Linked DNA regions of Oryzias latipes. The protein of the gene in region 1 purifies or fractionates together with the protein of each later gene. This does not show direct contact. Links are inferred from orthologs where the notes say so. Each region holds a gene or a part of one and is shown in the gene's direction. Other genes may lie near its edges.

What was found. Proteins that work in one complex are often made in the same cells at the same time.
Region 2: the proteins of leo1 (region 1) and eloa purify together in Homo sapiens (affinity purification with mass spectrometry; 3 studies listed by BioGRID and IntAct, with this or other methods). This does not show direct contact. The link is inferred for Oryzias latipes from reciprocal best matches to the Homo sapiens genes LEO1 and ELOA.
Region 3: the proteins of leo1 (region 1) and ssrp1 fractionate together in Homo sapiens (co-fractionation; 3 studies listed by BioGRID and IntAct, with this or other methods). This does not show direct contact. The link is inferred for Oryzias latipes from reciprocal best matches to the Homo sapiens genes LEO1 and SSRP1.

Annotation. Positions count from the first base shown.
Region 1 is NC_019861.2:13,579,681-13,584,281, forward strand, and holds the start of leo1 (RNA polymerase-associated protein LEO1), read left to right. Parts: upstream 1-1,589; 5' UTR 1,590-1,629; coding exon 1,630-1,687; intron 1,688-2,596; coding exon 2,597-2,745; intron 2,746-3,511; coding exon 3,512-3,798; intron 3,799-4,601. UniProt on the Homo sapiens protein: Component of the PAF1 complex (PAF1C) which has multiple functions during transcription by RNA polymerase II and is implicated in regulation of development and maintenance of embryonic stem cell pluripotency.
Region 2 is NC_019869.2:17,219,763-17,222,859, reverse strand, and holds part of eloa (elongin-A), read left to right. Parts: coding exon 1-5; intron 6-85; coding exon 86-218; intron 219-2,143; coding exon 2,144-2,292; intron 2,293-2,384; coding exon 2,385-2,446; 3' UTR 2,447-3,097. UniProt on the Homo sapiens protein: SIII, also known as elongin, is a general transcription elongation factor that increases the RNA polymerase II transcription elongation past template-encoded arresting sites.
Region 3 is NC_019868.2:13,996,983-14,001,006, reverse strand, and holds part of ssrp1 (FACT complex subunit SSRP1), read left to right. Parts: intron 1-671; coding exon 672-801; intron 802-918; coding exon 919-1,022; intron 1,023-1,196; coding exon 1,197-1,325; intron 1,326-1,401; coding exon 1,402-1,623; intron 1,624-1,816; coding exon 1,817-1,889; intron 1,890-1,995; coding exon 1,996-2,001; intron 2,002-2,887; coding exon 2,888-3,020; intron 3,021-3,102; coding exon 3,103-3,148; intron 3,149-3,217; coding exon 3,218-3,353; intron 3,354-4,024. UniProt on the Homo sapiens protein: Component of the FACT complex, a general chromatin factor that acts to reorganize nucleosomes. The FACT complex is involved in multiple processes that require DNA as a template such as mRNA elongation, DNA replication and DNA repair.

The DNA of each region.
Region 1 (4,601 bases):
ACCCGCCTCATCTTCAAGAAAACGATATGATTTTTTTTATTGAACTTCAAACACACACATAGCTACAAAAGAAAGAAAGAATAAAATACAAATAAATAAATAAATAAATAAATAAATAAATAAATAAATAAATAAATAAAATTAAAATAAAATTAAAATTACAATTGTAGGTTACACTACTAGGGATTTTCATACAACCTGTGATCTTGAATGAACATAGACAGTTTTATTGCATTTTTTTTAAATTAATTTCAGAGATTTAAAATATAAACTGATCTCTTTATAAAATGTATTGAATAATGGTTTGGTGTTTGAAAATCTGCTCTTATGAATAAAGAATTTCCCAGATATTAATAAAGTATTGAATGTCAAATCAAATAGATTATTACCAGAAACTACTCCAAATAATATGATCTGCTTTTTTTCTAATTGAATAGAAATAGGAAAGGGAAACTTTGAGGAGCACCAAGGGGAAAAAAATCCTCCCAAAAACTGTTAATACATGTACATTCAAAAAACAGATAATCAAGTGTTTCTATATTTATGTCACAGAAATAAGTTATTTTCTGGAAAACCAAAACATATATGTAGTAGTTCCTTGCATGGATAGACTGCAGTCAACCAATATGAAATAATAAAAATAAATGTTTTTGTGGCTCAAACAGTACTTGTAACTGCTTTTTACGGCTATTAAAATGACATTTCTTTCCAAATTAAAGACCCAATATTTTTTGAACATTTATTATGGTGCAGTGTGTTATGAATTAATCAATATAGAATCATCTGCACTTTAATTTCTTCATTGAATGTAAAAGCAAACTGTTTGAAGTTTAAATTTAAAGTTTGATCGAGGTTAGAAATTTTTTAAAGCAGAAAACAACAGTTTGAGCTTGAAGAAACAACACAAAAGCAGATTAAAACTGCAGTCAGATGATTTCTACCTTTGACAACAGTATGGACAACAGTAAAACGGTAACCACAGACCTTTTTCCAATTCAGCATTATTTAGTGTTGTCCTTTTATCATTTATTTATTTATTCATTCATTTTTGTAGAAAGTGTCCTATATTATATTCATAGATAAATAAAATCCTGCAAATAACTTTTATCATGAAGCCACTTTTAACAACACTATGCAAAATGTGCAACTTTATTCAATTCAACCATGTTCTACTCATTGCTTTAAATGTTCATATTTAAATTATATAGATAGTTATTATTTTATTTATTATTCCAAAAGTGTCAAAGTCTGACCAATGCGACTGCATCTGGGTTTTGGTTAGAAGTCAACATTAATACATTTTATGTCTTTGTATAATCAAAGGTAATAATCAAATTTCTGTGTGAGTATCAATAAGTTACATTTACTAACAGAATAAACCTCATTTAACATTTAAGAAAAATAGATTTCGTTAAATTGCATTAAATTTAAAAAACAGCAACTATGTGAAAGATACTATGGGAAACTGCCTGTTCAGTTTCATGCAGTTCAGTTTAAGGTGCTTCACAGCGCCCTCTAGTGCTTTAAAACAGTCAGCACACAGATTAAGGATAAGTGAGCTCAACCCGGATGTAAAACCTCCAAAAACCTCGACCACTTCCTGTACTTTCACTCCGGTTTTCAGAAAAAATGGCGGACATGGACGAGCTTTTCGGAAGTGATGGAGACAGCGAGAACGACCAGAGAGGTAAAAAGCTACAAATTGTCCGAATTTAGGTTTCATTGTTGAATGAAGTCACGCCTGCGCACTCATTAGTGCGAATCCAGAACAGGATTTTCCTCAAAAAACAATCGGCTAAGCCGGTGGAACTGCCTGGATAGTTGCACTGGTGATGTTTTTGTTAATCATAAACACTCGTGTATTTTTTTTTCTTTCCTCGTCAACATTAAATGCCGGGAATTCCAAGATATTATATTACATTAAATTAAATTATCATGCAGCAATTTGTTTGAATCAATTTCTCTTTAAAGGCAAAGCTGTAAAGCTCAAACTATTTTAACCGCATGTCCAGAATATACGATCATATTCACGACCAACGACGACGGGAACAAAATAATTATCTGTATATAATTCGCCAAACCAGTTTATTATTATTAATTTGTTTAATTATCTGACCTTTATTGCATTTGTATTCAAAACTTTTGTCTGTTAAACAACAATGCAAAAATAAACAATTGTAAATATACAATTTGGTTTCAAACACATGCACTTTTTAAAATAAATAATGAAATTAAGAGTTACTGTGATTTTAAGAGGATTTATTTATTTAAAAGAAAAAACAGAAAATTTAATTTTAAGGACCTGCCTGTTTTGTTTTTTAGTCTTTTAATTGGATATGGAGTATAACTTTATGAAAATTCTATATTATAGGATCTAGATGAGAAGGAAGTGGGAACAATATAAATACAATTAGTATAGTTATTACTAGTCTAATTGTATATCAAACAGTAACAACATATAAACTGGATCCATCGCTTGATGGCAGATAACATCTTGCTTTGAGTTGGTCAATGGTTGGTTGAGTTGGTTAATGTCAACATGATTCATTGTTTTTGTGTGTCTGAAGAAAAGTTGCTTGTCGTCTCCTCTATGCAGAGTCTGCCTCTGGCTCTGGTTCCGACTCGGAGCAGGAGAGACCCAGGTCAGTCAGCAATGTGTCTGGCAGCGCCAGCGACAGTGACAGGGAACGGGACGATGACGACAATGAAGATGGCCAGGAGAGAGGAAAGAACAACATGAACAAGGTTGAGGAATTTGTCATATCAAAAAAAAAAAGTGAAATGATGAAAGTTTCTTAATTTCCTTTTATTTTCACTTTGCCTTTTTTTAAATGTTAAAGCTTGTAAGCTTGTAGCTTACATATAAACTTTAGGCACAGTTTTTAAACAGGATTATTAAACAGGGTTTAAGAACAGAGGAAACAGGCTTGTTGTAGTTCCTGCAGACCGGCAGGAGGTCATGTGAAATTTGCCTCTGATTTGTGAGCAGGACTGTTGACATGGAGCAACCCTGCTCTTCTTTGCAGTTGCTAGGAGTTCGGAGCAGGGAGACTGTGACCCGCCCAGCTTTAAGTCACAAATAGGCTCTTTTTTTATACAGAATTTTTTGTCTGCTCCTGAACTATTTGAATAAAGAATAGTCAGCAATGTAATTTTAAGCTTAATTTTCTTAAAATATGTCCTCCACTATCAGAAAAATGCCAAAACAAGATGTTAAAAACACCAAAAACACCCTTTTCATCGGAGTGGGTCTTGAATTGCAAAAAGTCTGCTGATAAATGACTTCACTGTGACTTGCTCTTCACACTGTAAATAGATACGATAGTCAACAAGTCAGTATGACAGATCTTTCAGCTTTGTGGCAGTTTTCCACGGCTCTTTCACCATCCAGGTGACTTGTGGCTTTAGCTGCAGGACTGAGTCAGTATTCAGGTGCAAATGAGCAAAGAGCCCACAGGTGTGACTGTGGTCCGAACATTAACTCAACTCTCCTCTGACCTGTGTCTAATAGGAGCTGTTTGGAGACGACAGTGAGGATGAGCAGCACAGTCAGCACAGCGGCAGCGACAATCAGTCCGAGCACTCGGGGAACCAGTCAGATGCCAGTATGCACTCTGATCAGGGGGACAACGATCAGTCTGACGCAGAGCAGCACAGCGGCTCGGAGCACGACCAGCGAGACGAAGATGACGACGACGATGTGGGTCAAAGATCAGATGGAGGAAGCCCAGCAGGCAGCGGGATGTCTGGTGCTGGGAGCCCTCGCTCTGAGAGGGGTAGCGCTCCCTCAGACAGGAGGTAGGACTTTGATGAAGGACACGCATCCCTGCAAGGAGAGTTCAATGATGCCTCATACATTCTTTTAGGATTCCAGCTCTTATTTGCAATGAACAAAAATACGTTTAAGCGCCTCTGTGTTTGTTTTTTTCTACACCAACAAGTGAAGCTCGATGTGGTTTATTTATGTGTGATTGTATTTCCAAAAGAGAAAAAGGAATGTGGCTAGATAGGGCATCAGTTATCTAAAAAGTCTTCAGTCTTATAATAGAATAAATCGCAAGGAAAAGGGGTCTAAATATTGTAACATCATGGAGGATTTTGTGGTTTTCTTTGGGAAGCTAAAAATCTTACACTTAATCCCTAAATTCAGATTTTTAAAGTTCCTCTATCAGAAAACTTTAAATAACAGGAAATGTACCTGTAAATTCCATTTGCAGATTTTAAAAGAACAATGTTGAGGGGCTTTTTTTAAAATCACTTACAGCTAACAGGTTAATAGACAACGTTGATTTTTGAAGGAAAATATTCTAGTTAAGGTATTTACTGACTTATAAAGGGAAACTTTAGTCACATGGACCTGGGGGGCTTTGAAAAGGACCACAGTTAGGAGCCGGACAGATGAATATTACATGAGTAATGAGATCCTCCCCAAAACAAATGCAGCTATTAAGCACATTAGTATTAGCGGTGCAGAGGTGGAGCGGTTGACCTCTGATCGGAAGATTGCAGGTTCAGTTCCCGCTCTGTGCGCCCAACCCCACATTAATCTGGAAGTTAAAGGTCGGCGCTATTGTTTGACAGAGGAGCTGCCGTCAGTGTGT
Region 2 (3,097 bases), on another chromosome or scaffold:
GAAAGGCAGGAGAAGATTTTGAAGACTTTAAAGCTGGTCTCGAAATGGCAGCCATTCTTACAGTCATCCTTCATGTGTTTTGCAGGTCGACAGGTTAAGATGGCGTTTGTAAATTCTGTGGCCAAGCCTCCACGTGACGTTCGGCGCCGACAGGAGAGGTTTGGTACCTCTAGTGGTTTGTCCTCGGCGGCTTCTATTACAGCTGCCTCTCCTATCAAGTGAGTGAATAAAACTATTATTCTGATCTAATCTTTGATAAAAGCTTCAAAACAACTTAATTTTCTTCTTAAAGAATTTGTTGGAATAGAAATGCACTAGTCATAGAAAAAGGCAACAGAAAGGATGCAGCTTAGAGGTTTGATAAAGAGTGAAGGCTTTTAAAGGACAGCATTCAAGCAGCTGTGGAGACTGATACCATGCATCAAAAACTAAACCCTTGTATCATTGAGATAAAGTTTGTTAATATGAGCCTTCTATTTACTTCGCTGCAAAGGGTTCAGTGACACAGAAACAGCCAGCCAGGCTCAGATCATAGCTTCACTTTAGCAGATTTACATCATCAGTGTTTAGAAGTGAATGAACAACTGGCAAAAAGAGATCTAAACTGCAACCAGGATAGGGGATCTGACACAAAGCCCTTGGATTGGATGTAGAGTTTTTTTAAAAACATTTTCCAGTTGAAAAACATTTGTTGGAAAAAAAACAACAGAATAATCGCTCAGAATTCAAGTCTACTCTCCACATGTGTCCATTCTGTATTTACCCGAGGTCTGACTTACTAAAAGTAGTTTTAGTGTTTCACATTTTAGGAAGACTGATTGTAATATGTTCATATGATGGCTTCTGTACGTCTTCAAAGGTCTATTTGCTAATTTAATTGCACATAATTACACTACACTTTACCCTCAATTCTGTTTATTGGGTTTCCTGCTTTTTAATTTTTTTTTGTTATCGTCGTGTTTCTTGTATTTAGGTTTGCCTTATGCCATGTACTGTCTTTTATCATGTTATTTATTTATTTTACTCACTATTGCCCTGTGCACTGTTGCTGTTGGACCACCCACAATTTAACAGCTGCTGGCAATTACAATATTCTAGTCTAGTCTAGTCTAGTCTAGTCTAGTCTAGTCTAGTTAGTCTAGTCTAGTTAGTCTAGTCTAGTCTGATTACCTTATTATTAAAGATAAACTCAAATACGCAACCATTTTATTTGTAAGAGAATTATTTTTCAATTGTTCTTTGAAGACGTTCAGAAGCCATCATATGAACATATTACAATCAGTCTTCCTAAAATGTGTAACACTAACCTGGTTCCGGGTTACACTACTTTACTGATATAGTATTATGTTTTATTCATATGAGTGGCTTTTATAAGTAACATAATCTGCATATATTTCAGATGACTGATCTGCATTTGCCATGTTGATTTCTAAAATAGTTATTTTTGACGTAATACTTAAGTAATTTATCTTTGTCATGTGCTTTATCGATATCTTATGACTTTTAATTCTGTCTGATAAAAACTGGGAACCGGATATTGATAAATCATGTAATAAAATGGTTATAGTATAACGTGGTGGGATTATATAAGTTTGCTTCCTTCCACTCCCTTTCAAGCAATATTTATTAATATGTCTAATTATCCTAAGTTTGATTAGTTACTGTATGAATGTATAACTGATGATTATATTGCTGTTGTGTATTATTTCTACTTAATTGCTTGAAATAAACCATTTCAAATCAAATCAAATCAAAATTGTTGACTCAGACGGGTGAACTTCTAACCAAATGTATTACTTATAATCTGTATTTCCCTGCCTATATGCAATCTAAATAATCACCCACCTAACTTTTGAAAGTTTTTTCTTTTACTTTCATCTATTTTTCTGCTTTTTAAAAAAAAACTGAAACAGATGCTGTTGCCATCAAATGAACCAGAATTGCTTAAAATGAAAAATGTTTAGCTGGTCTTGTCAACAAAAACCAGACTGTACATATTTAAGTCTAAATGCTCCAGGGATGCTATAGGAAGAATTTTACTCCATAAAAAAAACTTCTTTGATTATCTTATTTTTTAAGTTAAAGTTATTTGTACTATTCTTTCACTTCTATTCCCTCTCAAATATTTCTTTTTCTCCTCAAGAATCCGACCAGTTGTTACAGGCGACTCTGGAGAGTCGAGCCGCTCCTCTTCCTCCTCTCTGCTGGCCTCACCTGCGCCTTCATCCCGGCCCTCCGCTCCAAGTGGAGGAGGAGCAGGAGGACTTGGTCGAGAGAAGCCAGCTGTCAAAAGTAAGTTCACAGGCACTTTTTTATCATTAGATTTGCATTAAATCTTTATATGTTTGCATCAATTAAACCTCCATGTTTGATCTGTTCTGCAGAAATCGCCCCTATGATGGCCAAAACCATCAAAGCGTTCAAGAACAGATTCTCCCGCCGGTAATCTGAATGAGCCTGAATGTATTGTATCAATTACAACAGTTTTTAATTGAAGCTACAAACCATTTACAAGGGAACTGCGTTATGGGCTTCAGTGAGGGGTCTATGAGATTTTGAGATCATTCATCAACGAGTGATTGCAGTGTTGTGCTTGTAATCCAAGTTCAAGTCTTCTGAGAGAAGAGTTTTTCTTTTTTCAAAGACATATGGTGAGCAGAAGGGCTTTTGTGAACATCTATCCACAATTCTTCTGTGAAACACAGAGGTGGTGGCATCATTGTTTGGGACTGGAACGCTAACTATCATTGTTAGATTACTGTAGATGGGTAAAAGAAAAATCGCAACGTAGGAGAGCTAAAGACACCTCCTCCTCTGCCCTTAAAGAGAAGCCCAAATTCAAATGTTCAAAAATTTAAATCTTGACTAAAAATTAAATGCTATAGATTCCATAGAAATCCATCCAAGCACATGTTGTAGTCTGATCTCCTGTGGGACAGAAACTGGGTCCAAATCTCTGCTTTCAAGTGCAGTCACACAATCTGTTACAGCATTAAATGCTAATTTTTGCTAAATCTGTGAACAGATGCTCACAAAAGCTCTCCTACTGTCGTGGTTTTTTGTCAAACGACAGCATTTTGTGTTATAAAAGGAAACT
Region 3 (4,024 bases), on another chromosome or scaffold:
ATAAAAATTACAAAGAATATTGTCAGACACAATTTTTGAGGAAAATAACTTTAGGTTACAGAAGGGAACGTGAAATTAAAATTTGTAGAGCAGATCTCGACGCTACGTAGTTTGTCCAAGTGGGGCTACCGTAGCGTGACGTTACCTTCAGTCCAAAGGACCCCGAACGGAAGTTCCAGGCCGAACGGCTATGGTAGCTACAGCGGCTTTGGTAGAAAAATGTTGAGTTCAGAACACAATTCAAACTAGAAATTCTGGTTATAAATGCAAACTTTACAGAAGTTTATTTGTTGCAGCTTTTGTTCCCTTTAAACAGCTTCTTAAGTAATTTTCATACCATCTGTGCAAACATTTTTCTCGTGTTCTGCTACTTTAAAATCTGAGTTAAGACTGACCTTCAACCTGTCTTTGGTTTGTTTACTGCTCTTTATACACAATATGAATGATAATTCCACTAAAAGAGACGTGGAAAAAACTGCTAATACAAGTAGATAAATGACCTATAAAGAGCCGAATTGCAGCTTCTGAATTAAATGCTTTTGTTTTTGAATCCTCAAGAGTATTACTTTTTTTTTTTTTCAAGTGAAGTATTTGTTCTGCCTGCTGTCAGAAACTGATGTTCTATGATGAGAAGATGACCTCCTGTCATTTCGTTATCTCCTTTGTTCCAGATATGACATCCGTATCTATCCGACATTCCTTCACCTGCATGGTAAAACTTTTGACTACAAAATTCCCTACACCACTGTCCTCCGTCTCTTCCTGCTGCCACACAAGGATCAGAGGCAGATGTTCTTTGTGGTGCGTCAACATTTGAGCTTTATTTTCTTACAATACTGAGTGTAAATTTACAACATTTCTTGCATTTTTTAAATTTTAACTTCCTTCTGATGGTCTGTTTTTCTTTTCTTTTCACAGATTAGCCTTGATCCTCCAATCAAGCAGGGTCAGACTCGCTATCACTTCCTCATTCTCCTTTTCTCCAAAGAGGAGGACATAAATCTCACCCTTAACATGAACGAGTGAGTACAAGTACATTTTAGTAACTATTTAACTCCTTTTGTTTAGGGCTGCTTCAGCTTGTTGGGTTTTGCAAACAAATCTGGAAAACTAAAGATGTCCACTAGGGGGAGACAAAAGTCTGCTTTATTGCCCGTTCACAAACCGTAAAGAAGTTTGTTTTCTTGATGCTTCAGGGATGACGTGGAGCGCCGTTTTGAGGGGAAACTCAATAAGAACATGTCGGGGTCTCTCTATGAGGTAGTCAGCAGGGTGATGAAGGCTCTGGTCAATCGCAAGATCACTGTCCCAGGAAACTTCCAGGGGTAAACATGTCGTACACTAAAACACGTTACGGTCTAAGAACATCTAATAAAACTCTGTACGTTGTATTTTCTCCAGCCACTCTGGGGCTCAGTGCATCACCTGTTCATACAAGGCTTCTTCAGGCCTCCTCTATCCTCTGGAGAGAGGCTTCATCTACGTACACAAACCTCCTGTCCACCTCCGCTTTGAAGAGATCTCCTGCGTTAATTTTGCCAGAGGGACCACCACAACACGTTCCTTCGACTTTGAGATCGAGACCAAACAGGGGAATCAGTATACTTTTAGCAGCATTGAGCGGTAAGGCACTATATGTGTTTAGCTGCATCTTAAACAATAAATACACTTGTAGGAGTTTTTTCATCCTCGTCTATAAGTTTGCAGAACAGAAGCATGACCCCAGTCGTCTTTGAACAGATTCCTAGTATTCTAGGGGTGGAACTGTCTCCATCTACTGTCATCCAGGTTACCCTCACCTTTCTTTACTTTTCAGAGAGGAGTATGGCAAACTGTTTGACTTTGTCAACGCCAAGAAGCTCAACATCAAGAACAGAGGATTCAAAGAGGTAACGCATCAACCTGCACTCCCGCTCCTGAAACAGGCTTTCATAGACTTCCATGTCAGATGGAGATTCTTATTGCCCCTCTTTGTCTGCTCTTGTACCCCTGTAGAAGAAGGTGGGTATGGTCTTGGGCGTCATTTGTAGACTAGCAGCTCTTGGTTTTCTTTGTGGAATCATGTCTGATTGCATGGCGTGCTGCTGACGTGTGCTACAAGGATTGTGATCAGTAATCTTGATTGACCTTTTTTTGAGGTTGAAATGGTTAAATACTGAGTGACATATGGACTAATCATGGGAAGGCGTTGGGTCTGCAGTAATTGTGTGTTTGTCTGCATCTTGCCGACTGATTTGCTTCTTTGGGTCTTTCGGGTTTCCGTGACACGATCGTTATTCCGACGCGATGTTCAGCCAGCGCCATCAAATCTGACGACGCTCTTTACGTCCAGACATTAAGTGCTCGCAGCAGAGCTATTGGTTGCTGTGGTGATGGGGTCAGCAGAAGAGGTCAAACAGATCGAATGGTTTTGCTCTCCATTTCCTGGTGGTGTTTTCATGGCTGTTTCCCTTCGGGTGTCTGTCCACTGACAGACGTGGATGTTGAGAGGGGGTAAGGTGGCAGCAGATGACAGTGGCTTTGCGGTGGAAAAGATGATGCAACTGCATTAAGCCATGGAGTCTTTAGTGGAATTTAACCTGCTGGCCTTAAAAGAAGAAGCGGCGATGCTGGACAGAAGAGGGTCCGGTGCCGGATTACCCACAATTCATTCACTTAACAAAAAAACCTTCACTCATTAATCTGTTTTGTTTCAATGTTGTCCTTTAATTGGCTACTGAGTTTTTCTGACCACAGATTTATATATTTATTTGGAAAACGATTGTATACTAACAGTGTGTGTTTGGGGTAATGATGTGGTTGGAGGTGAGATTTCAGCAAAAATGCTGGACTAGTTTTATGCTCTGTGGTGGTGGGGGGGTTTGTTGACGGTGCAGTTTGTTTTCAGGGCATGAAGGGTAAAATTGACGACTACAGTGACTCGGACGAAGACAAACATGATGCCTATCTGGAGAGGATGAAGGCTGAAGGCAAGATCAGGGAGGAGGGCAACGACAGCGACGAGTCGGATGCTGAAAGTGGTGAGTAAGACTCAGAACAAGAAGAGCAGCAGCAGCTGGCTGAGAAGAACATCTGCTTTAACCTCATTTATTCTCCCTGTAGACGAATCCTTCAACCCAGGAGAGGAGGATGATGACATAGCAGAAGAGTAAGCCACTTAGATGGTTCCTATTTTGAACTTGTTTTATCCCAGCTGATGGTGTCTTCCCGCTGGCAGGTACGACAGCAATGCCAGTGCGAGTGACAGCAGTGATGAAGGGGATGACAGCGAAGACGAAAGCTCAAAGAAGAAAAAACCCAAGAAAGTGGTCAAGGAAAAGAAAGAAAGGAAAGAAAGGAAGCCACGCAAAGAGGTCAGAGGAAAACTGGAGAAAGTACTGAATTTTTACGAGTATGAGTCACGTGTGTTTTTTTTTTTTTTTCTTTTGCACAGTTTGACCTGACTTATACTCAGGTGCGACATATGTGATTACCGTAATTTCCGGACTACAGAGCGCACATACACAAGCCGCGTCAGTGTACAAGCCGCATGCATTACGCAACATGGCCAGCATGACAAGTCACATCCTGACTCCCAGAATGAGTTCATGAATTCATTTGCACACTGTAGGAGCAAATAGCATTGGATCAGCTGATGTGTTTGAATTCACCCACATCTGCCAAACAGCATGGACCTGTATTCTGTTCACAAGTTCCTCAGTTATGGTTTTTTTTTTTTTTTTTTTTTTAGTTTTTTTAACGTATTGACAATCTAGGTATCATACATAAAATTACAAACAGTAACCATATAATCAACATTACATCCCTCAGTTATAATGAGGAAATTTACATCTGCGATTCCCCATTTCCCATGAGTCTTAGGGGCTAAAGGCGGATCTAACCTCCGGCTTGCCATACTGTTGTCAGTTTTTAAAGAATGAGCAGCAGTGGATGGAGGGGAGAACGGGAGAACAGCTCTCCTTCCACTTGTGTCGCGGCAGCATTATGGTAGTAACGGGGCTGAAAAAACGCACCAGTAGAATAA